Linked DNA regions of Diceros bicornis minor. The protein of the gene in region 2 binds, or shares a complex with, the protein of the main gene of each other region. Links are inferred from orthologs where the notes say so. Each region holds a gene or a part of one and is shown on either strand. Other genes may lie near its edges. The genes, in order: APLF and XRCC1.

What was found.
Region 1: the proteins of XRCC1 (region 2) and APLF are in contact, whole or in part, in a crystal structure (PDB 5W7X), measured with the Homo sapiens proteins. The link is inferred for Diceros bicornis minor from reciprocal best matches to the Homo sapiens genes XRCC1 and APLF. Residues at the interface, in NP_006288.2 of Homo sapiens: Pro514, Tyr515, Ala516, Gly517, Ser518, Thr519, Asp520; in NP_775816.1 of Homo sapiens: Arg27, Gly28, Pro29, Gly32, Ile33, Thr34, Lys36, Arg37, Val38, Ser39, Arg40, Arg41, His58, Asn60.

Annotation. Positions count from the first base shown.
Region 1 is NC_080751.1:19,795,621-19,811,206, reverse strand, and holds the start of APLF (aprataxin and PNK-like factor), read left to right. Parts: upstream 1-8,424; 5' UTR 8,425-8,634; coding exon 8,635-8,730; intron 8,731-15,586. Other genes in the region: FBXO48 (F-box only protein 48), read right to left, coding at 4,862-5,023, 5,771-6,076. UniProt on the Homo sapiens protein: Histone chaperone involved in single-strand and double-strand DNA break repair.
Region 2 is NC_080773.1:18,182,607-18,198,986, forward strand, and holds the start of XRCC1 (DNA repair protein XRCC1), read right to left. Parts: upstream 8,574-16,380; 5' UTR 8,468-8,573; coding exon 8,417-8,467; intron 8,006-8,416; coding exon 7,913-8,005; intron 1-7,912. Other genes in the region: PINLYP (phospholipase A2 inhibitor and Ly6/PLAUR domain-containing protein), read left to right, coding at 9,754-9,811, 10,805-10,921, 11,529-11,681, 11,923-12,066, 12,251-12,405. UniProt on the Homo sapiens protein: Scaffold protein involved in DNA single-strand break repair by mediating the assembly of DNA break repair protein complexes. Negatively regulates ADP-ribosyltransferase activity of PARP1 during base-excision repair in order to prevent excessive PARP1 activity.

The DNA.
Region 1 (15,586 bases), on a different chromosome or scaffold from region 2:
AATTCCAACTGTGGACCTTTTCTATTGTCTGTTTTTCTGTTTGTTTTTATTCGTTATTGTGTCTCTTTATGTGTGTGTGCATGTATCAGACACTGATTTTTAAAAATGTTCATAGAGATAATGTAAAGCCTAAAATGTTGATATTTTTCTCCAAGGAGGCCTTTTTTTGTTTTTGCTTCTGCCAGGTGTCTAGGGCATTATTATTATGGGATCCTCTGAGTCCAAATTCAGAGACTGAGATATTTTGAAGGTGCTTGGTTTTCCCGTGAGGTCCTGTGTACTTCCAGCTCACGCCCATTCCTAGGGTGTGGCGGTCTTGGGTCCCAAACTACAAGCATGGAGATTACTAAGGAGGGGGGTTACTAGTTCCCCTTCTCTTAGTGAGTCCTGGATTCCACTCACTGTCCTCATAGCCTTGAAAGGATTTCAAAATCTATTTAATCTCTCAGCTGCTTTTGCAGAAATTACAATGCTCCCACGGCAAGATTAACCTCAATCATGGGCTTACTTCTCTGGTTCTCTTTCATTCCCCAGAAACTGTTCCAATATTTCTTTACTATCTTGTTAGCTCTATCATGCCTTCAAGTAGATTAAATTTTTTCCCCAGGTTTTCAAGTTGTCCTAAGTAGGAAGGCTTATCAGATTATCTGTTCTGCCATTAGCAAAAATGTTAAGTTCCACGTATTTAATATAATTTCCCTCAGATTTTCTAGATGTTTGTAATGGGAGATGTTCCTTGTTAGTCTTAGTCCTTCATGTTGCCTCAATGTAGGAACTAAGTGTCGAAATTATAAAAGACACTATATTCTAGTGGTTAAAAGGTTGGTCTGTGTAGTCAATGAGATTTGGGTTTAAATAGTGGCTTTACATCTTCTTTTTACATTTATATTTTAGATTGTCTGAAAAAGAACTAGCAGATGATTTCCTGTGTTCTTTGAAAGTCTAATCAATTGTGAAGATGAAATAAGATAATATTAATAAAGCATTAGCATAGGGGTAGCCATAGGGGAATGAATACTCTAGAAACGGGTTGTTGAAAAAAGAAATCTTGGCTCTATGGAAAAATATCCCTTTAAAGAGAAAGACTTGGTGATTACAACCTCATTCAAATGATCAGACTTACACGCTCACATAGTAGAACAATCAGACATCGTGCACTTCTTTATGCGATATAATAAGAAGTATGTAACATCACCTATGCAGTATAATTGCTAAATATGTTTCACCTGAATCAAATCATAAAAAGACAATCAGAGAAATCAATTATAGAACATTCTATCAGATAACCAGCCTGAATTCTTTAAAAAAGGTCAATATCCTGAAAAACAAAACCAAAAGCTGGAGGATGCTCCTGGTTAAAACAGATTAAAGGGGCATAAAAAAATGATATGCATATGTAAACTTTGTTTGGCCTCTGAATCGGAAAAAAAATCTATAAAAGATATTTTTGGGGGCCATTGGGGAAATTTAAATAGGGATTATAAATTAGATGGTATTATTGAGTTAAAAAGTTTTAGATGTGAGAATGATATTGTATACCGGCGAGTGTACTTAGGAGACGCATGCTGAAGGGTTTAGGGGTGAAGTATCATCATTGTGCAACTTATTTTCAAATGCTTCAGCCAAAATAAATGATAAATAAAACAAATGTGGAAACGTTAACAACTGCTATGTCTAGGTGAAGGGGATACATGAGAGTTTTTTGTCATATATTTACTTTTCTGGGGGTCCAAAATTTTTCAAAATAAAAAGTTGGAGGAACAGTCTTGTCTCGTTTGAATTACTCATTCTCAGCTAAGTTTTTAATTCATTCAATAAAAACTAATTAAGTACCTACTATGTATTACACACTCTTATAGGTGCTGGGAAGTAGTGATGAACTAGATAGATAAGCTTATTCTCCAAAATTCAGTTTCCTCATCCATAAAATGGATATAGAGTAACAGTACCCTCCCCCCACCCCACAGACACACAAGCACAATGCTTGTAGCAGAGTAGGCACTCAGTAAATGTTGGCTATTATAATTAATCGTCTTTGTCCATTGTTGATCTAATTTCATCCATTTGATCATTTTGGTCTTTCAACTCTACTTTAAATAAAAATGTGTGATTTTCCATCATATGTATTACTCTTCCCAAACCATTTCCTGATGTTACTACCCATCCTATTTTTGTTAATATTATTGGGGCATTTGAAGGTTTGGAAAGAACATATTATATAAAGTCAAAGTAAAGATGAAATTAAAATGGTTAGGGTATATTTTTCAAATTAGGCTTGTATATACATGAGTATTCTAAGGTCTAAAGCTTATATTCTTATAGATTTTATTGATGATTACGTCCTAGTCTAAGATTGGGTTATAAACTAGACGCAACTAAAGAAAGGTTTCTAAAAAAAAAAAAAACAAAAAACACTAGATCTTGAACTGAATAAATATTAAACAACAGTGGAAATTCCTTAATACTCTGTCCCAATAATCTTGCCTCTTTTTACAAACTGTGTATAGGTAACGTCATTTTATCTATGAGTAAGAGCACTCCTTCCTTCCATTCTACTCCACCCACTCATGTACTCAGATGCTAATGGCTTGGTCTGATAAATGCACAGTTCATTCTAAGTCCATACCATAAAATTTATCACTAAGTTCCCAAACTTTCCTTTCAGTGTAGACGGTGATCATAGCTTATAACTTATTATACAAAAAATTATTTTAATGCTATAGTACTAAAATTCAAACTAAAGATTATTCACATAACTTGCAAAATAATACTTAAAACTGCTTGGGGTGACCCAATAATTAAAAATAATAAGTGATACTTTTGGGTTAAGTTTATTTTCAAATGTTTATTAAAGAAAATAAAACAAAAAATTTCTACTTTCCTATTTTTCTCTTACAGCTTTTGAGAAGACTAGAACAATTATTCATATATTAGCATTAATATTAAGCATCCCATACATCTTACAGGTTGTACATTGCATTTCAATACAGTCTTATCCGCTAACAATATAGCATATTATTTTTATTAAACATTCTGGGTAGGACTAAAATAAATAATATAGAAATAATTTAAGAAATCTTTATGGACTATCTACTATGTTCTAGGTTTGAGGAGTAGAAAAATAAATAAATGGTCCCTGCCATTAAGAAGTTCACAGTCTAAACGGAGAAACAGACAAATAAAACAGACAATTTAAAGTAGCACGACAGCTTTGAGAGTGGTGTGCACAAGGAACTACAGGAATCTTAAGAGGGCCACTTAATCTAGAATGATAGAAGTTAGGGATGGTTTCCAGGTCAAGATGATAAGTTCTAAAAAAGAGTTTGCCAAGAAAAGAATTACTGGTGGGTGAGAAGAACATTCCTATAGATGGAATTGTCAAATAGTCCTAGAGACTGGACTGGCCCCTTCCAACTCTAAGAAGACAGTCAGAGACAACCAACCATCAGGTGCTTGATCCAATAATGGGAATTTGTATAGAGTGGAGCATCTCTCCGATATTTGCCTATTTGTTAAATACTGGTTTCCTGGATTCTCATTTTTTGTGCTATCGAGCACACTTTTGGAAGAAAACCCCATACTAACTAAAATTTTTTTGTAGATACTTTTTACTATGGTGCTGACCACAGATTCAGAACAATCTGGTATAGTACTTTTTTTTTTTTTTTTTCTTTTTTTCCTTTGTGAGGAAGATCAGCCCTGTGCTAACATCTGCCAATCCTCCTCTTTTTTGCTGAGGAAGACTGGGCCCAGGCTAACATCCGTGCCCATCTTCCTCCACTTTATATGGGACAGCGCCACAGCATGGCTTGCCAAGCGGTGCGTCGGTGTGCGCCCGGGATCTGAACCAGCGAACCCCGGGGCTGCCACAGTGGAATGCGCGCGCTTAACCGCTTGCACCACCGGGCCGGCCCCTATATCATCTACTTTTAAGAAAAAGAGAACAAAACGAATTAAAGGTTCCTGGAAAACTATAAACTTTAACAAAGTTAGGTATATAGGGTTCTCTAAAATATTTTTCTTTCTTTTAAATGTGGAGAAAACAGAAAGGAGCTGAAAGTCCTTTGTCTTGGTTATCTACAAGTAGTACACTAGATGGTGCCGTAAGGCTGTCAGAAAGAAAGTTTCACCAAGAAAAACAGTGTGGCAGTTCTGATGGCAGTTAAGTATTCTGGAAACTTTCCACATATTTTCAGCCCCTGAGAGCAATTCCAGGTCTGTAGGCAAGTAACGGGATCTTAATCTCACAAGTTTTAGCCATTTGGTCAGATTAGTTTTAAACTAAACCACAAGTTTTTAAACACATTTTAAAATGGTTTCAGTGTGTGACAATTCAATCTGATTCCACTGAAGTGGAAATTTTTAAGTTACTGAAATAAAAATTTATTATACATTTAAACATATTGCTATTAATTTCATTTAGGTAGTCTTCCCATGAGCCTCGTTATGTCTACTACTTAATGATTCTCTAAGTCAGTTTCTTTGAATGGTTTCCTGAATTTTTAAATTATTATTATGCAGAAAATACCAAACTCTCTTATCTTTATTAAAGTACTGCAATATACTAATACAAATACATGAAACAATACATTTTGAAATCACTCTATCAGTACAGTATTTCTTATATAAATAACATTTCATGATTTTTCCACATTACAATAAAACCAGAAAAATATTTTTTACTAATAAAGTGCAAAATAAAAACAAAGCTTTACTTTTATCATATTTTCCACTTAGTTTTCTTTTAAATGTTAAACATTAAAAAGGTGAACAAAAAAACTGAATGGATAAAGATATACCTTTTGCAACTTACGAGTCATTTTAAACTCTCAAATTTATGAGATGTTTGTGATTTTTCTGCTTATCTTTCCAGTTCTGCTTCTAGAATCTCCCCCCATGTATCTGCATCCATCGGGTACATGATTTTTTCTGGTAGGCTAACAGAAGAACATATGTTGCTGTATCTGCCACTTAACCATTCATATTTCACTTTACTCTTCTGGTAATTCCTCAGTAGTATTACCTGAAAGAGGTAAACCATCATCGTTAAAAAATGTAGTAGGCGGTTGGTTAGTGAGTTTGTTTGAAACTAGAGAAGCTGGGCTGGGCCAGTGGCGTGGCGCTTAAGTTAAGCTCGTGCGCTCCGCTTCGATGGCCTGGGGTTCCCTGGTTCAGATCCTGGGCGTGGACCTATGCACTGCTCATCAAGCCGTGCTGAGGCAGCGTCCCACATAGAGGAACTAGAAGGACATACAACTAGGATATACAACCAGGTACTGGAGGGCTTTGGGGAGAAAAAAAGGAAAAAAAAGAGGAAGATCAGCAACAGAAGTTAGCTCAGGGCCAATCTTCCTTAAAAAAAAAAAAAGAGAAACTAGAGAAGCTGATGGACAGGGCTAAAAAGAATGAGTATTTACATTAATATACATATATACTCATAAATGTGTGTGTATAAGTGTATATATATAAAGAGTGAACCACAGAGTTTGCTGAGGATTTTAGATAAGGAGGAGTGAAAAGAAGTAGCCACTTTCCTTCTGGTTAACGGGGGAAAATGGCCGAACTTAGGATGTAAAAAAATGTAAAAAGATGGATGGGAGACAGTGTGGTTTGCAGGAAAAGAAGAATAATTCAACTTTAACACTAAAAGCCAACACACTCTGTATGTCATTGTGTATATGAACCCCTGCCTCCTCCAAGTAGAAGGCAGTTGGCTCAAACCTACCACCGTCTTGTCAAGCACACCGTAGACTACAAAGATTAAACTTACCCTCCAGGAGTAACCCCTTTTTTGATCATCATCTATTTCTCTTTGGCACACAGCTCTTACGGTCAAGCAATGAGGTTTCCATAAAGAGTCACTGTTTCTTATTGCGTAATTCCAGCTCCTGCATGCCATTGAAGCCCTGCACAAACTCCGAATGTCCAGCTGACTGAAAATTTTAAAAGTAACTTCTGGAGGCAGCAGTTCAACAAAGTTATTTTGACTCTCTTTTTTTGCCTTCTCAGCATCCACAGAGTTCAAGTCTATGTCAGAACTTCTTGAATTATTGTTTCTCTTGGAGTTTTTCTGCATAGCGTGATGTTTTAGTAAATTATCCTCATATGTAACCTAAAAGGCAAAGTTTTAACTTAGTTTCTTCAGATCAACCCTGATACTTTCTGGGTATGATCTAGAAAACTTTAACTTTCCTGACCTGAGCTTCTCAGTCTGTAAAATAGGGCGAATGATGCTCTTCTCCTGTGTGTTCTTGCAAGGATTAACAGGGATAATGTGTAAAACATCCAGCCCTCACACTGGAATTGCACATGGGAAGCACTCAACATATGTTATTTCCCTTCTTCTTTTTAAATATTTTTAGTAAACGGGTTTGTTTCTAAACATTTATTTTTCTGCTCCCAAAGAACATTACCTAAAAACGAGAAATGAGAAAAAAAAAAGAGAGAAGTGATTCTTCACAGATATAATTTATTGATTTTAGTAGTAGAAATGACTATTGTGAGAACACATTCAATTTCAAATATTTATTAAAAATACTTTTGAAAATGTGTATGATTCAATTCTATTAAACTCTTGAAAACTTGATGTCTGTGGGACCTGATGCCTTGTCATTAAGTTCTTCATCTACAATTTGTGACTTAAGCATAAACCTGATGGACTTTTAGTAGTTTATCTAAGAATTATTTATCTACTTGTATCTAGTGGGTAAATTCTCACATTTGATGCAAATACTATCTGAAATAGACAAGAGGTTGAGGCCTGGGTTTTAATGCCACAAAGTCTCAAATATTCAATTCAGTTATAAGATTAGTGTTTTAAAAATGACCTCCTGAAGCTATCCTACATGCCAAGTTAATTATGAACTAAAGATAATAGTTACTTAGGCCATCAAGCAACAGTGACTAACAACTATAAACGACGTTTATAATGCAGTTAGGTATAGCTTGTGACTAAAGATTTAAAGTCCAGTTTCAGCTAGTTTACCTAAGGTGCATGTTGCAGGTTTCTGAAATCAGTTGAAAGCATGGAGCTCTTTTTGCATTTAAAACAACTAATATTTATTTAAAATCAGTTTATTCTATGTTGCACTTCCTTTTATAACGGGGTGGGGGGTGGCACTGCAGGAGGTGCGGTTTCAGATACAGCTAAATACTTCTTTTAACTCAGCTAATGACAATTCCCCTTTCTAGATGCACTACTCACCTATATGTTTCTGGACTTGCCAAGACCACAGTTGCTCCCATTCATTCATTTGGTTGCTTACGATCCAAATTAGCTATGGTGGTTAGACTTTTAATGTCTCAGTTCAACAGAGGACTTCCTCTTGAGGGTTTGGGGAAGTAAGAAAGTAAACTGGTAAAAATAAGTTCATGAATCAAGAGCAAGGGGGTGTGTGTGTGTGTGTGTGTGTGTGTGTGTGTCCCCGCCATTAATACAAACCAAAGCCAAACTACCATATTCTTGGAAAGAATCTCATATTAAGAGAAGGTTACTGTGCATCTAAATGTTTGTTACTTCTCCCAGGATCTCATTGGGGAATAAACTGAATGTTACTGTTCTCCCGTTACAGTTACTCCACAGGAGGCAGATGAAGGCTTTTGACTTGAACAGTCGGGGATGCCTTGGTGAAGTTCCTAAAATCCTATTAGGCATCTTCTTCTAAACCCAGTTTTGCCTGGAGCCTGGAAAACTATCCCTCTTCTGCCCCTTCTTCTCTATGAACCAAATTTTGCTGAATTACCTCTCTAATCAGTTATGAGCTCGCCCCTTGTTCAGGTGTCACACGGAGGGAGGGGTCGAGGGCAGCACAAGACGGAGGGGCGCCACCTGGTTCTCTAGGAGGCCCCACCCGGTCCAGACCACGCAGGTCGCAAAGGAATGACCCCAAGTCCCATCTGAGCCACCCTCCTTGCGTGCCTTGCGCAGGCTGCACCTGCCCGAGTGCAAAGAACACGGGGCACTGACAAGTGAACAACAATAACAACTGTCAGCACCGACTGTCACCGCAGCTCGGGGCCGCGGAGGCGAGGCTGCGCTGGCGCCAGGACTGCGCCCCCGGTCGTGCCCACCCGACGTCTGCGGGCAGGGAAGATCCTCCTACCTACTGGGCCGCGGCGGCTTCTCCTCCTGCGATTTAAATCCTCCGCAATTCGAATTTTTCGCCATGGTCCTTCACGTCCCGCCCACTTTAGCCCGGCCTTGCTGACTCAGATGTCGCACAGGCGTAGAGAGGAACGCGCACTGCCTTTTGGGATTGGTAGTTTTACCAGGGCGTCTCAGCTCGGCAGGGGAGGAGAAGGAAGCCGGCAGGGACTACAAGGTCCGGCGTCCTCCAGGCCCGGACGGGGGGAGTGAGAAAGGGTGGGGGGATTAAACCGGGGCTTTCAAACGATAATTTTGAGCCCGCCGGATGGGGGAATCGCTGAGTGCGTAGCTTGTCGGAATGGAAAGGCGGGGCTGGGACACCTCTCTGGGGCCCCTGCTGCGCGGGGACTGGACACGGCTGAGCCGAGTCTTTGCTCCCCCTCCCCCTGTGTTTTTCCGGGGGCCGGCGTAGGTCCCGCGCCTGTCCATGGAAGGCGGAAACGGTCGCGGGGTCCATCTCCTTGTGAAGGGGCCTGATCCTCGCCGCCATGTCTGGGGGCTTCGAGCTGCAGCCGCAGGACGGCGGCCCCCGGGTGGCCCTGGCGCCAGGGGAGACGGTGATCGGCCGCGGGCCGCTGCTGGGAGTAAGTGTGGCCCGGGGCTGGGCCGGACCCGGACAGCCGAGGGAGGTCCTTGCAGGCTCCCAACGCCCCCCTCCCCGCCCTGGCCCGATTCCTCACCACGCCAGCTCTGCCTGTTTGGGTATTAGAAGTTTGGGGCCAGCACGTTTTTCAGTCAACTTGAATCAACTCACAAACGTTTCCTTATGTTGCCTTTAAAAAGCACTGACTTATGTTATCATTATAACCTTATCCAGGAGCCCACAAACTATGACCTTGGGTCCAAATCCAGCCTGCTTTTCCAGAACTAAGAATGGTTCTCAAATTTTAAAATATAAGCAAATAAAAAACCTCTTAGCTTTTCAGAGAGAATAATTGCTCCAGGGATTGAGGATAGTGCCTCTTGGCCTGACAAGCCACAGTATCTGGAGTAGTATCTGGCCCTTTACAGAAAAAGTTTGCCAACCTCTGATCTTACTTTTTTTGTATGTGCAATTTACACTTTTCACCCTTCTGCTCTGGTAACCACCAATGTGTTCTCCTTCTCTATGTCTTCACATAAGAGTGAAATCATGGTATTTGGCTTTCTCATCTGACTTATTTTGCTTAGCATAATACCCTCAAGGTCCGTCCATGTTGCAAATAGCAAGATTTTATCCTTTTTTTACTGGCTGAGTAGTATTCTATTGTGTGTATACCACATCCATTCATCCATGGATAGGCACTTAGGTTGCTTGCAAGTCTTGGCTATTGTGAATAATGCTGCAATGAACATAGGGGTGCATATATATCTTTTCAAATTAGTGTTTTTGTCTTCTTTGGATAAATATCCAGAAGTGGAATAGCTGGATCATATGGTAGTTTTATTTTTAATTTTTTGAAGTCTCCGTACTGTTTTCCGTAGTGTCTGCAACAGTTTATATTCCCACCAGCAGCGTGTGAGGTTCCCTTTTCTCCACATCCTCTCCAACACTTCTTATTTCTTGTCTTTTTAATAACAGCTGTCCTGACCAGCGTGAGGTGATATCTCATTGTGGTTTGATTTGCATTTCCCTAATAATTAGCAATGTTGAATATCTTTTCATGTGCCTTTTGGCCATCTGTATATCTTCTTTGGGAAGATGTCTGTTCAGATCCTCTGTCCGTTTTTTAATCTAGTTTCTTTTTGTTGTTGAATTGTATGAGTTCTTTAAGTATTTTAGATATTAACCCCTTATTGGAAATATGACTTGCAAATATTTTCTCCCAGTTGGTAGGCTGTCTTTTCATTTTGTTTATGGTTTCCTTTCCTGTACAGAAGCTTTTTAGTTTGATGTAATCTTGTTTGTTTATTTTTTCTTTTGTTTTCTTGGCCTTAGGAGACATATTCAAAAAGATACTGCTAAGACTGATATCAGAGGGTACTGTGTATGTTTTCTTCTAGGAGTTTTGTGGTTTCAGGTCTTACGTTTAAGTCATTAATCTATTTTTTTTTTATTTTTTTTTGTGAGGAAGATCAGCCCTGAGCTAACATCCATGGCAATCCTCCTCTTTTTGCTGAGGAAGACCGGCTCTGAGCTAACATCTATTGTCAATCCTCCTCCTTTTTTTTCCCCCCAAAGCCCCAGTAGATAGTTGTATGTCATAGTTACACATCCTTCTAGTTGCTGTATGTGGGACGCGGCCTCAGCATGGCCGGAGAAGAGGTGTGTCGGTGCACGCCTGGGATCTGAACCTGGGCCACCAGTATCAGAGCGCACGCACTTAACCGCTAAGCCACAGGGCCGGCCCCATTAATCTATTTTGAGTTAATTTTTGTGTATGGTGTAAGATAATGGTCTACTTTCATTCTTTTGCATGTGGCTGTGCAGTTTTCCCAGCACCATTTATTGAAGAGACTTTGTTTTCTCCATTGTATGCTCTTGGCTCCTTGTTGAATATTAGCTGTCCGTAAATGTGTGGGTTTATTTCTATGCTCTCATTTCTGTTCCATTAATCTGTGTGTCTGTTTTTGTGCCAGTACCACATTGTTTTGATTACTGTAGCTTTGTAGTATATTTGAAATCAGGGAGTGTGATGCCTCCAGCTTTGTTCTTTTTTCTCAAGAGTGCTTTGGCTATTTGGGGTCTTTTGTTGTTCCATATAAATTTTAGGATTCTTTGTTCTATTTCCATGAAAAATGTTGTTGGGACTTTGATAGGGATTGCATTGACTCTGTAGATTGCTTTAGGTGGTATGGACATTTTAATTTTAACTATGTTAAGTCTTCCAATCCAAGAGCATGGAATATCTTTCCGTTTCTTTGTGTCTCCTTCAATTTCCTTCTACAATGTTTTATAGTTTTCAGTGTACAGGTTTTTCACCTCCTTGGTTAAATTTATTCCTGGATATTTATTCTTTTTGTTGCGATTGTAATTGGGACTGTAGTCTTGATTTCTGTTTCTGCTGTTTCATTGTTAGTGTATAGAAATGCAACTCAGTTTTGTATGTTGATTTTTGTACCGTGGAACTTTACTGTATTCGTTTATTATTTCTAATAGTTTTTTGGTGGATTCTTTAGGTTTTTTTAATATATAAAATTATGTCATCTGCAAATAGTGACAGTTTTACTTCTTCCTTTCCATTTGGATCCCTTTCATTTCTTTTTCTTGCCTAATTGCTCTGGCTAAGACTTCCAATACTGTGTTGAGTAAGAGTGGTGAAAGTGAGCATCCTTGTCTGCTTCCTGTTCTCAGAGGTATTGCTTTCAGTTTTTTATCATAGAGTAAGATGTTGGCTGTGGGTTTGTCATATGTGGCCTTTATTGTCTTGAGAACTTTCCTTCTATATCCATTTTATTCAGAGTTTTTATCATAAATGGTTGCTGAGTCTTGTTGATTGCATTCTCTGCATCTATTGTGATGATCATGTGATTTTTATTCTTCATTTTGTTAATGTGGTATATATCACATTGATTGATTGGCTGATGTTGAACCATCCTTGAATCTATGGAATAAATCCCACTTGATCATGGTGTATGATCCTTTTAATGTACTGTTGTATTTGATTTGCTAATATTTTGTTGAAGGTGATCTTATCTTTTCTAGAATAATTTCTTTTAAGCTTTTGGCCCTTTTTGTGTGACTGTGTGGTCCTTACTTTTATTGTAGTAGTCTTTTTTGGTAATATAAGTAGCTAACCGTTATGTAGTGTGTAGTGTTCCAAGCATTGATTTAAGGACTTTACATATACCAACTTCTTTAATTCTTTCAAAGCCCTATGAGTTAGGTGCTGTTATTATCCTCATTGTCCAGATGAGAAAATTGAGGCGTAGATTGGTTATTTAAAGGGCACACATAAGGTTTTGGACACACAGTACCTCTAAGCTCTATATTCTCCACCTTCTTTGGGATATTTGGGAGTTAGAAAATTTGCCTCTTGCATTCAGGAGTTTTGTAGATCTCTCCCTAAATACATATGTATTGTTTTCTTAACATTCAGCATATCTTGTTTAGTGCCCACTTTGTGCAGCACGTTTTGCAGGCCCTAGCACTGTGGAACATACAAAGATGAGTGAGATCTGGGTCCCTGCCCTCTAGGAGTTTTCTCTTGAACTGTGGAGACAAACCTGTGTAACTGAGCTAATACCAGGGAGTAAGGAATGTGGAATATTATCCTGGTTAACCTCTAGTGTCTAAATAGAACCGTTGATATTAGCGTTAGGACCCTTCTCAAAGCAGGAAAAGGAGTGGTAGTTCAAGGTTGTGATGGGAAAGTCAGTCCTAAAGGGGTGTGTGTGTGTGTGTGTGTGTGTGTGTGTGTGTGTGTACATATATGTATATGCAGTAAGGTTATTGAGAAAGTTGAAGTTCACCTGCTGTTATGTTTTTTACTGGACAAGTAATTACTTAAATGTTTAAATAGCATTCTATTACTTTTCTCCATAGTTTATTAACCTATACAGACATTTGAAGGGACTGCCTGGGAGGTTTTCTTTTTCTCTTTTCTCTCTCTCTCTCTTTCTCTTTCTGTATCTCTCTCTCTGTCTCTCTATCTATATCTAAGTTAGAAACTTAACACAGTATGTGCTTCATCTGGAAATGTTATGTGTGGTGACTGATGAGTTTTGATTTGCTTAATAAATTGTATCACCAACACAGAACACTGTGGATCTGGCTTAAAGACAGATGGATTTTGGGCCTCTATTTTACAAACGTGGCAACGTGTTGCAGTCCGTTTCATTATTTGTAGCTTCATCTTTCTGTTATAGGCTTGCTAATGTGAGATGACCTATTTGGTTTCTGTTTTTAAAAATGGTAAGGAGTAGGGGCCGGCCCGGTGGCGCAAGCGGTTAAGTGCGCGCGCTCCGCTGCGGCGGCCCGGGGTTCGCTGGTTCGGATCCTGGGCGCGCACCGAAGTACTGCTTGGTAAGCCATGCTGTGGCGGCGTCCCATATAAAGTGGAGGAAGATGGGCACCGATGTTAGCCCAGGGCCGTCTTCCTCAGCAAAAAAAGAGGAGGATTGGCGGATGTTAGCTCAGGGCTGATCTCCTCACAAAAAAAAAAAAAAAAAAAAAAAAAAAAAAAAAAAAAAAATGGTAAGGAGTAGAAAGTTAATTATCTGGTCAGGATTTTACTTTTCCTTTCCAAATAATCGTTCAGTGATGAGATTCTCTTGCCAGGTTTGGCAGATATTAGAAGTGGTTATGAACAACATCCTAAATGCATTGAAGGAAAAACTTAAAGAACAAACAAATCACCTTACAGTTTTTAAGATTTTGGAGCTGACAGACAGATGTGTTTCTTTTCTGCAGTGGGTAAAACTCAACACGAGGGCTGTTGTTTCAAACAATAGCTATTCCAGTGAGATTCTTTTTTTTTAATGTGAGACAGCAAAGACTTAGTTCTAAGTGGGAAAACTCAGGAAGTTCATGGTAAATTTGTATCCATCTGAAATGATTAATAATAATAAGGATGGTTTTTGAAGTCTCTCACTTAACTAGCCATGTTTTTTGGAGATAAGTTTCACAAAAGTTCATTGGCCACACAAGCATAAACGTTTGTAATTCCAGTGTGTAAAACAGTCTTGGTGGTAAAACAATTTGACAGTGAGAATGTCTTTATGTCTTTACAGTGGCAGGAACACTCGTAGATAACAGTGCACAGGGAAGTTTACTTTTCTTGTGCCCTTTGCTTTAGTGTGCTTCGTCAGCAAACCCAAGGTCTTTATTTACTTTACTAGGTTGTAATTCTGTTTCATGATCTGCACCAATAAATAAAAGGTTCTACAGCAGGAGGAGTCTCCAGGGGATTATCCAGGGTGAAAACAGTCAGTCTTGAACGTTACATATTGTATGACTTCATTTATATAACATCATTGAAGTGACAAAATTATAAAACTGAAGAACAGATCAGTGTTTCCAGGTTTTAAAAAAGGGAGGAGAGGGGCCAACCCAGTGGTGTAGCTGTTAGGTTTGCGTGTTCCACTTGGCAGCCCGGGGTTCACCAGTTCTGTCCTCTGGGTGCGGACCTACTCACCGCTCATCAAGCCATGCTGAGGCGGCGTCCCACATATAATATAACTATGTACTGGGGCTTTGGGGAGAAAAGAAAAAAGAGGAAGATTGGCAACCGATGTTAGCTCAGGGCCAATCTTTCTCAAAAAAAAAAAGGAGGAGAGGAGCAGGGAGGGAATTGGATATAGCTATAAAACAGCAACATTGGGGATTTTTGTGGTGATGGAAATGTTTTGTATCTCGACTGTATCAATATCAGTATTTGGTTGTGATACTGTATTATAGTTTTGCAAGATGTTACTGCTGGGGGAAACTGAGTAAAAGGCACAAGAGATCTTTCTATGTTATATCTTTTAACTACATGTGAATCTACAACTATCTTAAATAAAAAAATTTAATTAAAAAGAAAATTTTACAGTATGTACAGCATCTCAGGCAACAGAGTACCTTTAAGCCAAATTATTAGCTTTATGGTTTTTCTGTACTTAAAGCTGATTACACTCTTAAATGAAGACTGCTGTTTCTGATTTCAGATTTTCCTTATTTTGTTTTGATAGCAGGGATTATAGGACACATTTCTTTATGATCTATTTTCTTGCAAGGAAATAGAACAGCGCCAGGTATCTAGTGATACTTCCTATAGGCAGCTGTAGTTGAATCAACTGCTTTAATTAAAAAGAGAAGAGTCCCCCGTTGGGGGTGGCAATAGTCATGGACTCCAGTGTAGACTCTTCACATGGCATCAGTTCACCACTTCTAAGAATGCTGTACGTGTTCCACAAAGTTTACACAAGTAACCGCTCCCTAGCCTGGCAACTTTGTACTGTTCCTGCTTGTTGCAGAATCCCACTGGCTGTCCTGGAATGCTAGTCTTACCTGGTGCAACAAGGTTTGTCCCTAGGGATGTGGCATACACTTCCAGCTGCTGGGTTTTGCCCCTTCCTCACTTAATTACTGAGCCTAGTACAATGCCTGGCACATAGTAGGCCGTCAACGCATGATCTCTTCCTTTTCTGCCTCTCAGCCTCTCACTTCCAACTCTCAAAAAAAACCTACTTATAACTTAGGTGTAAAAAGGATGTCTTAGAGTTTTGAAGTGAATTTAAACATAGTAAAGAAGCAGTGCTACCAACTGAAAAAACTTAAGGAGCAACATTCACGATGGATTGTGTTACCATGTTTCCTATTTCGTTGACCAATAATTTAGTACATTCAGAAAATAGTTGATAAATATATACTATAATCAGATGGGAGGGATGAAAGAGAAATAAGTCCTTGGTCTCGAGAAACTTACAGTTTAGTAGGTGTGAGAGACACAGAAGCGAGTAACTAAACGGGGGTTACAACCTCGAATGGGGAGTGGAGCCAGGCTGGCACCTTGAATGAGTGAAGTGGTGGGGTGTACG
Region 2 (16,380 bases):
TGAATCCCAGCTCTGCCACACACTAGCTGCTGGCCTTGTCAGCTAACCTCTTAGGGCCTCAGTTTCCTCATCTGTAAAATGGGGATGATCACCAGATCCAGGATGATGCACATCAATACTATGGCCACAGGGCCGGCCTGTAACAGGCACTGTACTGCTGTCAGTCAGGGGCATTATTAGTCAATGCTCAATAATTATTTGGTGGAAGAAAGAAAGAACTGTCTGCAGGAAGGCTTCCCCCACAGGATCTGCCATTCCCTTCTGAGAGTTACAGTCACAGAAAGCCATGCGGGGGTGGAAGGCAGTTAGGAACGGCTGAGGCAAGTCTCCTGCTTTCCAGTTTGGGGCTCTTCTATTTGCATTCTAGAATGACAAGTTATTACAACCCTCAAAGGTACCTAGTCCACACCCTACACAGCCCCCACCCCAGGGACCATCTGATGCTCCGATCTGCCTGATCACCTCCCAGTTAGGAAGTCACTCAGATGTCGCCTGCCCACTACAGACTGGAATATCCCTACGTTGGAGGAAGGAGCATGGACTTGGGGTGAGGCAAGCCTAGGTTCAAATCCAGCCCGGCCACTTCCAAGCTGTGCAGCCCTGGGTGAGGTACAACCTCTCTGAGCCGCAGTTCCCTCACATGTGAAAAGGGAGGGTCGTCCTAATAACCCTCCTTCTGAAGGGAGTTGAGACGACACGGAATAGTTACAACCACAGCAACAATTGCAGTGCACATCTAAGTGCTCACGATGTGCCAGACACATCATACATATATCTTCTCTCCTCACAACAGCTCTGCGAGGCAAGGGCTATTATTATCTCCATTTCACACGTGAGCAAACGGAGGCAGGAAGCGGTTATGTAACGCCCCCAAGGTCACACAGCTGGTGAGCGGCAGAGCTGGGATGGGAGCCCAGGCAGGCTGGCTGGAGTCCAGGTGTGCTGGGGAAAGAAGCGGTGCTGAGAGAAGGGCCTTCTCAAGGCTGCACAGGGTTGGCTTCCTGGAGCCTCCCTCTGCCTCCACTGCTGCTTCTAGCTCTGAGCCCTGGGACGGGGTGTGGTGCTGCCCAAGTACACAAGAAGTCCCAGTCTGACTTAGCCTCCCGCCACACTGATGGCTCTCCTCCAGCCACGCCGGCCTTCCTTCTGTCCCAAGAATAGGCCAGCTCCTTCCCACCGCAGTGCCTTTGCACCTGCCATCCCCTTGCCTAGATCATCAAACCTTCCCAGGGCTGGCTCCTTCCATCACTCAGGTCTCTGCTCAGATGTCACCTCTTCAGACCAACCAGAGCAGGCTCCCTCACCTCTTACTATGTGCTACTCTCTATCCCTAACTCTGCTTTATTTTTCTTCATTGTCACCACTTGACATTATACAGTTACGGTTTCTATTTGTATTTGTCTAGCATCTGTCTCCTCTACTAGACTTTTAAGCTCCACGAGGGCAAGGACAATATCTGAGTCATTCCCCACTGTGTCCCCAATGCCAAGGACAGCGTCTGGTCCTTCCCAGCTCTGTTTACTTACTGCTGTGTGACCCTAGAGCAAATGGTTTCATTTCACCCCTTGGGCCTCAGTTTCCTAACCTGTAACATGGGGACAGTAACAACTTCTACCTCTAGAGTTGTTGGGAAGATTCAAACAGGGCATACACACACAAAATCCCTGGAACGGAGCCTGCCACAGAGCAAACACTCCCTAAGTGGCAGCTGATACTATTATCCCTGGAGGCCTTCAATACATTCCTGATGGATGGATGCACAGATGGAGAGGAAGCCCCAGAAACCATCTGACAAAGGAACAAATGCCCCCTGGGTTGTAACTCTGGCTCCGCCCTCCCTGACCAGTGGTTTTGGTGAGTCACTTGCCTCAGTGTCCCCATCTGTCACAAAAGGACCATCCTGGCTAACATTTTCAGATTCTGTGTGCCAGGCGCTTTGTGTTCTAGTTTCCTACTGCTGCTGTGACAAATGACCACAAGCTTAGTGGCCAAAAGCAACAACACTTCTTGCAGATCTGGAGGTCAGAAGTCTGAAATTTGGTCTCACTGGGCTAAAATCAAGGTGTCAGCAGGGCTGCATTCCTTCTGGAAGTAACAGGGGAGAATATGTTTCCTTACCTTGTTTCCAGCTTTTAGAGGCCATGGCCCCTTCCTCCATCTTCAAAGCCAGCATGGCATCACTCTGACCTCTGCTTCCAACCTCACATCTCCCCCTTCAACTCTGACCCCTGCCTCCCTCTTTCCCTTATAAGGACCTCTGTGATTACACTGGGTCCCCCCCCGGATCTCCAGGATGCTCTCACCATCTCAAGACATTGCATCACATCTGCAAAGTCCCTTTTGCCACGTGAGGGAACATATTCACAGGTTCTGAGCATCAGGCCGTGGACATCTTTTAGGGGCCATTATTCTGTCTACCACACTTGGCTAAGCTCTTCCTGGGCCAGACATCACTGAATCCTCACAAGCACCTTAGGAGGAAGGGTCTGTTACTATCCCAGTTTTACAGATGGGGAAACTGAGACTCAGACAGGTTAAATAAATAGCTCACATGTCACACACAGCTAATGACTGGCAGAAAAATGTGGACCCAACTGCCTGACTATAAACCAACACTTTTTCTCAACTCTCCTATTTCAATCCTGAGGTAAAAACTCAACATCTTGATTTCTCCCATAATATAAAGCACAAGGCCCTACATCTAGTAGGCTGTATATACAGCAGTCCCCCCTTATCCATGGGGGATCCATTCCAAGACCCCCAGTGGCTGCCTGAAACCACAGATAGTCCCAAACCCTATATGTACTATATTTTCCTATATATCCATAACAATGATGAAGTTTAATTTATGTTAGGCACAGTAAGAGATTAACAACAATAACCAATAATAAAATAGAACAATTGTAACAATATACTACAATAAAAGTTACTGTAGACCTCAGCAACCTCAGCAACTTCAGCACACGATTCTTTTTCTTTCCTTATTAAGTTGAGAACTTTTATTTTTTCACTTAAAGGAAGCACTTTACGGCTTCTCTTTGGCACATCTAAATTGCCAGCATCACTATTCTTGCGCTTGGGGGCCATTATTGAGTAAAATAAGGGTTACTTGAACACTAGCACTGCAATACTGCAACAGCTGATCTGACAACCACGACAGCTAAGTGACTAACGGGCGGGGAGCGTATACAGTGTGGATACACTGGACAAAGGGATGTTTCACATCCCAGGCAGGATGGAGTGACGGCGCGAGATTTCATCACACTACTCAGAACAGCGTGACATTTAAAACTTATGAATTGTTTATTTCTGGAATTTTCCATTTAATATGTTCAGACTGCCATTGGCCATGGGTAACTGAAACCGAGGAAAGCGAAACTTCGGATAAGGGAGGACTACTGTAGCATCTGTATTTTAAATGAATGATTCTTATTGCCTATATAACTACTTCTACTTTAAACACATATATATACTCCTTTGTATTTCTTCTTTTTGATAAATAAAAAATTTCTCATAAAAACAGTTATATGGAAACAACCCAAATGTCCATCACCTGATGAATGGACACACATTGTATGGTATACCCATGCAATGGAATAGTACCCAACTATAAAAACGGATGAAGCACTGATCCACACTACAGCACGGAGGCACCTCGAAAACATTATGCTAACCTTTAAGCAGGACACAAAAGACCACATATAGTATGATCCTTTTTCTACGAAATGTCCAGAATAGGCAAATCCAGAAACAAAAAATCAGTAGTTGCCAGGGGCAACCTGGGGAGGGGGAAATTGGGAGTGACTGCTTAAGGTTATAGGGTTTCTTTTTGGGGTGATGAAGATGTTCTGAATTAGATAGTGGTGATGATTGCAGAACATTATCAATATACTAAAAACCACTGAATTGTACACTTTGGTTAAAATGGTGAATTTTACGTTATATGAATTTTATCTCAAAAAAGAAGTGAGTGTTCAGTAAGTGTCAGCTGTGAAGGGAAGGGCTTAAGCCCCAGATGACCGTTATCTGTGGCCTGGGTCTGTGTGCACCTTTCTCAGGAAGACACAATTCATGACAGTGAAACAAATGGGACTCGGAAGGCGTGCAAAGTTCCTGGGAGACATCATGTTACAAAATTGTTCCACATCCATGAAAGGTTACGTACAATTTAAAAGAAAAAGGTAGAACTTTCTGCAGTGACAGTGGATCTCCAAGATACACTGTTATTTGGAAAAAAAGCAAAGGAGAGAACAGTGTATATACTATGTACTTTAAAAAGGGATGGTAGGGTGGATGTATATGCTTATATGTGTACAGTGACCCAGGAGGGCCACACGAGAAACCACTAACAGTGGTTGCCTCAGGAGGGAAGAACTGGGTAGCAGGAGTCGGGGGAGGGAGCAGGAGGCGATGGGGGCAGGTGGCGAGGGGGACTTTCTTTTCCATGTATACCCTTTCGTGCCTTTTGAATTTTGCACCATATACACATAATACCCATTCAAAAAGTAAAGTTAATAAAACCACAATGGCTCTCTCCAACAATGGAATACTATACAGAAATGAGAATGAACCAACATCATGACAGCATAATGTTGAGTGACAGCAGCCAGATGCAAAAGTATATACTGCGTGACTCCATTTATATAAAATTCAAAACCAGGCAAAACAAATCTATGTTGTTAAAAATCAGGACCGTGATTACACTTGCGGGGGTAGCGACAGGAAGGAGCACAAGGGGTGTCGAGAGGCCGGGCATGTTCTGTTACTTGATGTGGGTGTGGAGTCAGAGGTTGCAGTTTGCGAGGATTCACTGAACTGTGCACTCTGCTGTACACGTTACACATCAAAAGAAGGTAAAAACAAATTTAAAACACCATGATGGCAAACTGAGTGATTAGAAAACCACTGAAAAATAAAAACAAAACGTGTGTCACCTTGCTGTCAAACATTTCTTCTAAAGAACACACCTCCAGTGCCGCACCAGAGTTACACCTGGACTGCATCCCAGTCGTCCCCTTAGGCCCAGGAGCGGCTAGCAGAGAGGTTGGCACTCTCTGGGAGCAGGTGACGAGTTGGCGACAGAGCCTCCTGTGGCTACCATGAACAAAAAAGGCATGTGGGGCTGTCACGAGCAGAAGGCTGAACCCCATGTAGTAACACCCAGAGGTTGCATAATATTGTTTGGAGGAGAAAATTCAGGGTAGTAGGAAAACCCACAGATCAGTCTACGTGTCTTGGTGTCCGGAAATTTCTGCCTTACCACTTGCTTGAAAAGAACCAAAATTAGCATTCGGTGAATTTGGAGTCACCCTGCATATTGGCAAGTGCCAAATACAATCAGATTTTCCAAAGAGTCTCTAACGTGGGATAAATTATCAACAGCTGCGATGCTGCTTGCTCCTGCATTTGTTCCCTGCAGTTTATTCTCAATGTGGAAGCCAGAAGGATTCTCTGAGAACCTAAGTCAGAGTCATTCCTCCTCTGCTCAGAGCCCTTCAGCGGCTCCCATCTCGTCTCCAGTAAAAGCTGAAGTCCTTACAATGGCTTTCAGGCCCTAAGTGTGTTGGGGGCCCTCTACCGCCACCCCATTAGCTCACCTCCTACTTGTCTCCCCCTGGCTGACTCCACTCCACCCACACTGGCCTCCTTGCTGTTCCTCCAGCCCGCCAGGCACCAGCCTGCCCTGGAGTCTGTGTTTCTTCCTCAGATGTCTGCATAGCTCACTCTGCAAAAATGTCACCTTCTCAGAGAGGCCTTCTTGGATCACTATTTAAATAAAAACCTCTTGCCACTGCCTGCTCCCCCAGCTGAGGCATTCCCCATTCCTCTTACCTGTTTAATTCTCCTCCACAGCACTCATCATCTGACGTATGTTTCACTTACTGATTTCAGTCTTTCCCGACTATGTGAAGCTCCAGAGCACCGATCTATTTTTGTCTGTCTGTCCACTGCTATATAGCCCCAGTCCCTAAAACAGTGCTTGGCCCAGGAGAAGGCGCTTTGTAAATAATTATTCAATGAATGAATGAACAAATGAATCCATTCACTCCCAAGTCTACAGGTCCTGTCCCTGTGCTGACAGTCTCCATGCTTCTGTCTCCAGCTTCATGCCTGACTCCTCACTGCCTCCTGGATGCTGCCCCTTGATGTCCCAAAGTCACATCAAACCTGGACATCCCAACCAAACGTATCACCTTCTTAAGCTGCTCCTTCTCTGGGTTTCAGTGACAGCTGCGATACCTCCCTCAATCTTCCAGGCCAGAGAATCCTGTGCCTCGTTCTGGCCTCTCTGGCTCCCTCATCCCGCCATGTCCTGTCTCTCCTGCTTCTGGTCTTTCTGCTTCCACTGCAACTGGGGTACAGAATGGAATGTGGTTTTCCTGGGGTCACCTGATCATAAGAGAGCCCTGCAGATTCATCACTCAGTAATAATAACAGGAATCCCTCCCTTTACACAAACACTTACATGTTCACAGAGCACTTCTGCAGACATTATGTCACCGGATTTTCACAACAGCCCTGGGCTTAGATCTCATTATTCCCAATGGACGGATGAGAAAACGGGTTCAGAGAAATAAAACAATTTGCCTGAGGTCACAGAGTGAGTAAGAGGGAGAGCTAAGGACTTGAATCCAGGTTCCAAGACTAAATTGTCAGCAACCTGTATCTCCCTCAGTTTACAGTATTGGCTCTGGGCAAGTTGTATAACCTCTCTGGGCCTCAGTTTCCTCATCTGTAAAATGGGGATAATAACAGATCCTAGGTCATGGAGTTTTTATGAGGATTCAATGTTAATCCATGTGAGGCATTTAGAATGGTGACTGGCAGTTGTAACACTGAATAAATGTTAGCTCTCATTATTATTACTATGTTAGGGACTTAGGAGATGTTTCAAGTCCCAAAATCATTCAGAAAATCTCGTAGGTCTGTATATTTTTCCTCAGAAGAGAATCGTCAGCTTCTCTCTAATTCTCAAAGGCTCTGTGACTCAAAAGTTTTTCAGAACCATGGGGCAAGAGAGAGACCAAGAATATGTTCAACACAATCATGTAAGCCTTGCCCCCGAACATCCTCCAAAACACCCCTACATTCAGAAATAAGGAATATGGCCAAAATCAAGAAAGCCAACGTGTGAATACAAAGCAGTATGACAGAGTGGTTAAAAGCACCAAGAATGGGTTCAAGTCTTAGTACTGCCATTTATTAACGGTGATAACGGTCCCTACACGATACTGCTCTTGTAAAGAGCGAGCTTGTGCAGATAAAACACCCAGGCCTGCACCTGGTAAAGAGCAGATGCTTAAAACACACTTAGCTCTCTTCTCCCACCAGTTTCTTATCCCTGACAGGAACAGCCTGTTTGGAATTCTGTAACCATCTCAGGTCAAACCACCCTTTCCTCTTTGCTTCCCTCCACATTCACAAGGCTATGGTGCAGATTCGGTGAGAGCATGGACAAAGGCCCCCAGAAAGAGCCTGGCCAGCATTCCAGAAATGGTAGCTTAAACTGGCCACTTCACATCTCCCCTCCAGATGCTTCAGTTTCCCCATCTTTAAAATGGGGTTGATTGGCTTAGATGATCTTCCAAGACACCTTCTAGCCCGCAGCCCACCGACTTTAGAAGGCAGGATACATGGCAATGATTCACTCTGTTCTGGCGGAGGAAACTGAGGCCCAGAAGGTAGAAGCCATCAACTTGGGCCACACGCTGATTCCTATGGTCATCCTTGGCCTAGCGCCTGGATCACCTTCCTCCTCTGCTAAGGGGCACAGTGACCACGCTGCCCATTTTCCAGGTAAGGAAGGCAAAGTGCCTGGACTCACTGCCAGTTGGCTCAAGAGCAGAGTCCGGGCCCTGGGTCTCCAGACCCCTATGAAGAAGAAGATGGGGGGGAGTGGGGGCAGGATCACCTGGAGCACCACAGAGATGGTCTTCTCGCCCGCCTTGGCTGCCCGCCATTTTCGGTAAGTGTCGGCCTTGAGAAGGTTTTCTGCACAGTGGGTCTGAAGATAAGAGCGGAAAGGGGAAAATTAGGGTACAGAGATGCGGGCCCCAGCTCTCAAATTATTCCTTTCAGTCCTCCCAAGCCCCCTATGACCCCCCTAGATTTAGGTTTCCCCGTTAATCCCCGCCCCCACTCTGCCTCGAGTCCCCTACAGCATCGTCCCCTGGATGTTCACCTCTGGACTCTCCAAGCAAGCTCCCCTATTCCTCCTTTCCTCTCCGGAAGTCCCACAGCCGCCCAGAAGTTCCCCTATTCCCCATCTCTCCCAGAATTCCCTAGAGCGTCCTGGAAATCCCCCCACGACCCTCCTAAGACTTCCATGAAGTTCCCTTTTACACTCCAAAAGTTCTTACAGAGCCCCCTGAGAATTCCCTTACGTCTTCCAACCTCCCCCACGCCAGTCCCTCACCGAGTCCTGGCTACTGCAGGACACTACATGGCGGAGGCGGATCTCCGGCATGTCAACGTCGTGGGCTTCGCCAGGCCCGAAGGATGAAGAAGGGTCCGAGTTTGGGGGGCGGGGAGGGGGTGCTCCCTGCGCGGGCCTAAGTGCGCAAGCGCGCGAGGCTCGGGCCTTTCAAACCGCGGCGCGCCCGCTCTCGCGTCGACACTGCGCAAGCCCAGTCGCGCCTCCCCGGAGAGAGGCGCCAAGTCCCCTAGCAACGAGCTTCTCCTCTAGCCCCGCCTCTCATTGGCCCCACCACTCTCTAGCCCCGCCTCCCGATGACGTAAACACTCTGCTTTCTGGGCGCCTAGCAACAGGAGCGGCTCCCAGGATTGGGCCCTAGAAAAAACTCGCCATTCTCATTGGATGACGCATCACCGCCCAAACCGAAACCTATAAAGAGAAAAAAGGACAGCAAACCTGAGCGGCTTTTCTCAGGCAGTCGGGAGCCTTTCGCAACAGGATCCCTTTCACCGGTTCCTTGTGGCTACACTCTTCGCCACCCCACCACCGCACACACGAAAAAAATCTCTGATCTCTCTCAGGGGTACGCCTGAGGCCAAGAGAGAGTGGGTTAAGGACCTAAATAAAACACAAAGCATGCGCCCAAACCAGACACACACGCCCAGCCTGGGTGCTTCAACGCATGCCTCAGTTTCCCAATCTGACGCGTGGGCATCTGTCTCCCGCCACGCCCGCCCCTGCCCGTTGACAAGCACCCCTCTGTTCGGTCCCCGCGAGACCCAGGGATGCAGCCCCAGGCGGGGTCCAGCCCGAACACAGAACTGGGAGTAGAGCCAAGATCTCGGAGAAGGAAAGGGAGACAAGGCTCCGGGCCCCCGTGGAACGAGCCTGGACATGCTGGGCGCTCCCAGGGAGGGCCCCACCCACGCTGGGCGCCTTCTTGGGAAGAGAGAGGAGGGACGGGATGTCAGTGCTTGCAGCTGCTCTACACTTACAAGAAATCAAGTGACCTAACTCTGACCTTGAGCTTCAGGCCAGGAAAAAGGCGGGGGGGGGGGCGGTGGGAATGTGAGAAAACTGGAAAGTGACCTTCTGGGTCCTTGATGGAAGAGGGGGCTGGAAGCCCAGACTCCTGGGGTCCCCATGGAGGAGGGGCTGGGCACAAGATGCCTCTGTCCCTTTCAGATTCTGGTTCCACTGCCCCAACCCAGAGTCGCAGAGGCCTGCCCTGAGATCTTATCTCAGCTGTTTATCACCCCAGGGTGAAGGTGGGTCCAGACCCGCCCCTCCTCAGCTTCCTATAAGGGCTGGGGACCAGGACTGCAGGTTCACACACCATGAGTCCCTCCACCCTCCTGCTGGCCTCCGCGCTGCTCTGCACGCTGCTGGGTCTCGGTAAGTGACTAGGGGCCTGGACTCCTAGGACCTCAGGAGAGAGAGGACTATGAGAGAACATTCAGCAAGGTCCTCGAGGGGAAAGAGGAGGTGTCGTGGGAATTCAGATTCATGGCGAAGGCAGAGGCTCAAGGAAGAGAGAGCCTGGGGCCCCAGGAGAGGAATGGCTCAAAACCTTATGTAATTGGATCCCTGAGAAAGGAGGGCACTGGGTGGGCTCCGAATCCTCTGTTCCCCAGGCAGCGTCTTGAAATAAGACATTTGAATTCTAGAAAATCTCATGAGAGCATGACTAGAAAGAGAAATATTAAAAAAAAAAAAAGATGGAGAGAGGGGAAGAGATTTCCTTTCTCCCTGGACTCTAGGGAGTTCAGGCCCCCGGCCCCTCCTCCCTTAGATGCAGGAATTCAAGCAAGCCCCACCTTCCCCAGGAGCCAGCTGTGTGGGCCCCCAGTTGCCTCCTCTCTCAGGACCACCGCCGAGTCCACGCCCTCAGCCCCCCTGGTCCTCGCTCTCCCTTCTTGACCTGGGATGCAGACCCCAACCTCAGGTGCCCCTGCCTGAGCTCCTACTGTCTGCAAGAACTTCTCGCGGGACCTACAAGGAGGAGGGTCCCACGTCCAAGAACCAGCTGGACCTCAAGCTGCACAGAAGTCCACGGGAACTTCGCCAGGACCCTTCCCTATGCCCGAGCTTTCTCAGAGGACCCTAGCGTCCAAACTCCCCAGCCTTGTAATTAAACAGGCTCCCTGGTGGAGTCGCTTCCCGCCCCTGGAAGCAGCTTTGCTGCCATCACCACCACGTCCCTGTCAGAGCTGCGGACAGTCCCCTGGACAGCACTCAATGCCCCGCCCATTAAGAATGAGGGAGACACCTGTCCCTCAGGACCCAAAAGTCCGGCCCCCCTGCCCCCATCGCCCTCTGGACTCTGAAGTCGATGTCGTGGTCCGCACCACACCACCCATGTCTACAGCCCCACCCTCTACACTGCAGGGTGCCCGCTAAGCTGTGAGATGTGCAGGGCCTCCGGACCCACGTGCAGCGGCAAGACGAAGACTTGCGAGGCCGGCAAGGACGCATGCGTGATCGTCGTGGGGGAGTCCAGCACGAGTAGGCACGCGGGGCGCCAGACCCCGGGGAGGGGTGTGCCCTCAGGGTGGAAGATACCACCGCGCGAAGTGGGGGGGGAGGACCATCGCGGGTCCCGTGGTGGGTGGGCAGGGAAGAGAGAAGGCTATCTCGAGGCAGACGGAGGGAAGTGAATTCAATGGGACGACAGAAACCATTGTTGTCAGAACTCAAAAGAAGATGGGAGGGCAGATATGGAGACTTTCTTAGGTAGGAGGGGTGAGGAAAGGACACGGGGGAACAGAGAGATAGTGAGAGGGGAAGAATCTAATAGGCAAGAGATGGGCAGGGGGCTAGAAGAGAAGGAAGAGGCTGGGATGGGTTGGGAGGAGTGTGATCATGTTGACCATTTTGGGCGGCAGGCAATGGCCAGGGGAGGAGGGGGGTGAGGGAAGTACCGAATAATCCGCTCCAGTCTGTACTCCAGGGAGATGAGGGAGCATGGCTTTCGTCGGCTGGAGGAGACCACCCTAGAGAGTCACAGGTGGGGGAGGTGTATGGTTGGGAGAGACCCCGAGGTCGGGGTTGACGCCAGGGTGGGATCGGCCAGCGCCACCCGAGCCCTTCCCTCCGGTCCCCCATCCCGCAGAGGGCCGCCACTCAGTGAACACCTACAAGGGCTGCATGAAGTTCAGTGACTGCTACTCGGGTTTCGTCTCCACCACCACGGGCTCCCAGGACTACATGGTGTCCACCACGTACTGCTGCCAGAGCGACGGCTGCAACCAAGGCTCCGTGCCCCGTAAGTGCCAGCTCAGCCCCGCATGGGGAGTCCCTTCCAGCCAGCCCCAAGAGCCCACTGTGTGTGCTCTGACCTGCCACTGACCGGCGCTGTAACATTGGGCAAGCATCTTGCTCTGAGCCTCAGTTTCCTCACCTGTAAAATGCAGTGTCCGTTAGCATCCGGTGTTCCCCAGGCTGTTGTGAGGTTGGGGAAGGGTCTAAACGACCCTATGCACCTTACACTCCACCCTCATCCCCAGCTCCCCAGAACAATCGTACTGAGAACGGCCTCCACTGCCCTGCCTGCCTTGTACCCTTCCAGGAGACATGCCCGGGGACCCAGGCAGCGCGCTGTGTTGGCCAGGAAACCCACTGCGTCTACTTTGCTGGCAACGTGCAGGCTGGTGAGAGGCACCTGGCTCTCTGGAGGAGGTTACAGGGCCCCCAGAACTGGAGGCCCATACTTGCAAGTTCTAGGGAAGATGGTGGCTCGCGGGGACTGGGTGAGAAAGTGGCAGGGGCCAAGACTCCTGGGTCATAGGAAGGAGGGGATGGAAGCCCTGACTCCAGCCTGAACCCCCCTCCCAGGTATAATCAACGCCAAATTTGCTACCCGGGGCTGTGCTACAGAGAGTGCCTGCTACGCCAAGGCTGGGGCCCAGGTGCCCTCAGCCTCCTATCTCTACTTCCTCCGCCGAGCTGACTGCCTTCCTGCCCCCTGGCCCCCTGGCAGGGCTGAGTGAAGAACTGAGGAACATGTGGCTTGTGGTCTCCATTAGTCCTCGGCCTGCAGCTCCCCATGTGCCTATAAATTAAAAAGGTTAACAAAGCAAGCCTGAGTCCTCGTGATGTGATGCATCCTGGGGAGGCAGGGGATGTAGACATCGGGGCTCCCAACCCTTGGGAACCCCCTCTTTGCAAGGAACAGAGGGAAGACCCTACCTTTTATTAAGGGATTACTCTCTGCTGGGCCCCTGTGCTAAGTGTTTTCCATGCTGTACCTCATTTCAGAATCACAACTCTATGTAGTTGACATTATTATCCCCATTTTACAGATGAACAAACTGAGGCACAGATTGTGGTGTCACTTGCTTTGGGTCAAACTGCTAGGGAGGGTCAGACTCCAGAGTCCAGGATCACCTCTACTAATAACCTCTCCCTCTTTTTGCCTCTGTTTTCATGTCTGCAAAATATGGATATTAATAGTTATAACCTCAGAGTGTTGCTGTAAGAGTCAAATGAAAGAAAACCAAAAAGGCACTTAGTGCAGTTCTAGAGACAGTATGTCTGACTAAATAGTAATCATCATAATAGCTGCCACTTACTGGGTGGCCATTAGTTGGCTGGTGCTAAATATTGTCACCAATCAGGACAGACTAGATTATGCTACAGTAACAAGTCCCTAATCTCAGTGGTTTAAAACAACAAAGTTTCATTAGTCAGCCAGTGCTGCAGTGATGCTGTGTAACAAACCATCCCCAAACTGAGACTTGTAACAACAAGCATTCTTCTTTCTAAGCGTTTGTGGGTGGCTGGGGTGGCTCTGCTTCTGGCTGTGCATTGGATGGTTTGGCTCCAGTCTGGGAAGAGGATTCAAGTTCTCCTCCATGGGGTTCCACAATCTTCTGGGATCAGTGGCTACCTGGCTAACGTTCTTCTTGTGAGAGATCACAGGAGCACAGAAGCCAACTGTATTTAAGGCCCCTGTTGAGATCTGGTGTGCTAACATTCCATGGAGTGAAGTAACTCATATGGTCATAGCCAACACCAATGGAGCAGGCAAGTGTACTCCCCGTCCAGTGGGAGGAGCGGGGTAGTATTTGTGAACAAGTACCCATGCATGAAAGGTTGATTCTTCCCTCACCCCACATGGTTGCACCATCCACAGGGCGTCTGCTCATCATAATCACAGACAGAGTGGCTATACTTGAACATGGCCAATTTTTGTGCACAGGAAAGTCTCATATGGGTGATTAAATGAATCCCAGAAGTGACTTGACACAACTCATTGGACGGGACTATTCACGTGGTCCCACCAAACCACACGGGGACCAAGAAGTGCAATCCTGCCCTGGGACATGGACATGTTTCATAAACAGCACCAATGGCCATTGTGGCCTCTTAGGGGCTGCTTTTCATTTTATCGTCACAACTCCATGTGATATGCACTATTATTATTCTCATCCCTGCTTTCAAGAGAAGAATTGGAGGCTCAGAGGAGGGATGTCACATTGGAGGTTGCACAGCAAAAAAGTGGTAGAGCTTAAGGTTGTATTGATTGAGTCATGTTGAGGGGGAAAGAGACCACATCACAGAGAAAGGGAACAAGCCTGTCTTAGTTATCTTTTGTTACATAACAAACCACTCCACAATGTAGTGGCTTAGAACAATCACCTTTAATTTAGCTCATGATTCTACTGGTTGCCAATGTGGTCTGGGATCAGCTAGGTGGTTCCTCTGCAGGTCTCTGCTGGGTTCAGCTGCCTGTCACCTAGGCAGCTCTGTTTCAGTGGGTTGGCTGCCTGTGGGCTGGAGTGTCAAGGCTGACTGGGCCACATCTCTTATCACCCAGCAGGTCAGCCTGGATTTGTTGATGTGGCGGTGGTGGCAGGGGTCCTGAGGGCAGCAAGAGAGGGAGCCCCAAGGCATGAGCACTTTTCAAGCCTCTGCTTGCGTCCTGTTTGCTCTTGTCCCGCTGGCCAAGCAAATCACACGGCCAAGTGCGGAGTCAGGATAAGGGACTATCCAAGTTCATGGCTACAGAGAAGCTGAACAAATTGGTGGCATCAATGGGCCAGGCTGGTTCCAGAGCTAAGATGCTTTACCATCACAAGTCCCCAGGTCTGAACAGTCCCAGGTCCACTCCCCTCCCAGGGTGGCAAAACTCAGATCCAAGTCCGTCAATTCCAGCCCAGAGGAGTCTTTCCTATACAGACCCCCACAGTCCCTCCTCTCCCAGGACCGAGGAGTCCCCACCCTTGGCCCCCTCCTCCCTCAGACCCAGTAGTCCAACGCCCAGCCCCCTCGCCCCCCAGACCCAGGAGTGCAGGCCCCCAGCTCCTCCTCCCTCAGACCCAGGGTTCCAAAACCCAGCCCCCTCTCCCCTCAGACCCAGGAGTGCAGGCCCCCAGCCCCTCCTCCCTCAGATCCAGGGGTCCAGGACCCCAGCCCCTCCTCCCTCAGATCCAGGGGTCCAGGCTTCCAGCTCCAGTCAAAATCCCAAGTATCTTTTTTTCCCTTTCAAATCCCCAAAGAACAGACAAACAAAGGGATTTCTACTTATTTTTATTCACTCCTCCAAAAAGCACTACAGACCAACCACACCCTTGATTCATTCACCCTGCATGGTTCCCCACCCCAGTGGACACAAGTCCCTCCATCATTATCCAAAAATGTACAAAACTCAGCTCAGGTGATGAGACTGTCTCATACTCGAGTTTTTGGTGTCTATTCTGCTTCTGGCAATGGCAACACTAAGAGTCATCATACATTTCCTTGAATTCTTGCCTTCGAGGGTCTTCCAGCCTGGAGATGCCACGTAGACACACCCTGATGGCAGCCAGCGATCAGTCCACAAGGGAGTCTTAGTCTTTTCTGCTTGGATGCTCCCAGAGACAGATGCCTCACTAGCAACCTTATGCTTCCACAAAGCCTAAAATTCAATCCCATTGCAAGTCATGATTTAAAAGGCAACCACCCCAAAAAGTAGACACCCAAGAGTGCCAATATATAACTATATACACATAATCAGCACACTCCAGTGGACAGATGCATGCAAACAAAAGTGGGTCTTGCTTTCTCTGATATGAGCTCTGGCATGATTGCCATTGGCGTGAGGACAGAGGGGATTTGGAGCAGGAAGCACAGGGCAGAGAAGTCACACAGAACCAAATCAGAGATGGTGTCAAAGCAGTAGAAAAAGAGGAGGGCACTCTGTGAGCAAAGGCATGGGGCTGAGACAGAAGGTGCCCAGACTAGACTCATCTGGGTGCTGCTGGAGCCTGAGGGCACGTGGGCAGGGGCAAGGAGACTAACCTTTGAGCTCCCAGTCTTCTCAGGAGGGGCTGTGGTATGTTGACATGCATGACAGAGAATGCATGTACATACGTACATACACCGATTTCTCACAATAACCCTGTGAGGTAGATGCCATCTGCTGAGTGACTCGCCCAAGGTCACCCCCAAAGTCAGGAGAAGGACTGTCTGACCCTTGAGCTGTGCTAATAGAACTTCCTGTGATAGCGGAAATGTTCCAGGTCTGTGCTGTCCAGTGCCGTAGCCACTCACCACCTGTGGCTACTGAGCACTTGAAATGTGGCCAGTGCAACTGAGAAACCGAATTTTAAATTTTGCTTACTTTTAATTAACTTAAAAATTGACACTCATCTCCATTATTGGAAAACTATTCAATATAATTGGGACAACTTGGGTATATGAATCTACTTCTCCAAATATGAGTTTTATGAAATCTAAATAGAGGTCAGGTATTTCTGATGAAAAGTTATCACCTGAATTGTGTAAAATACACACGAGATTTCAAAGACTTAGCATAAAAGAATGTAAAATATCTCATTAATACTTTTCTATATTGATTACATGTTGAAATGATAATATTTTGGGTATATTGGGTTAAGTAAAACATGATAATTAGTTTCACCTGTTTCCTTTTACTTTTTTTTTACTTTTCCTTTTTTTGCGAGGAAGATCAGCCCTGAGCT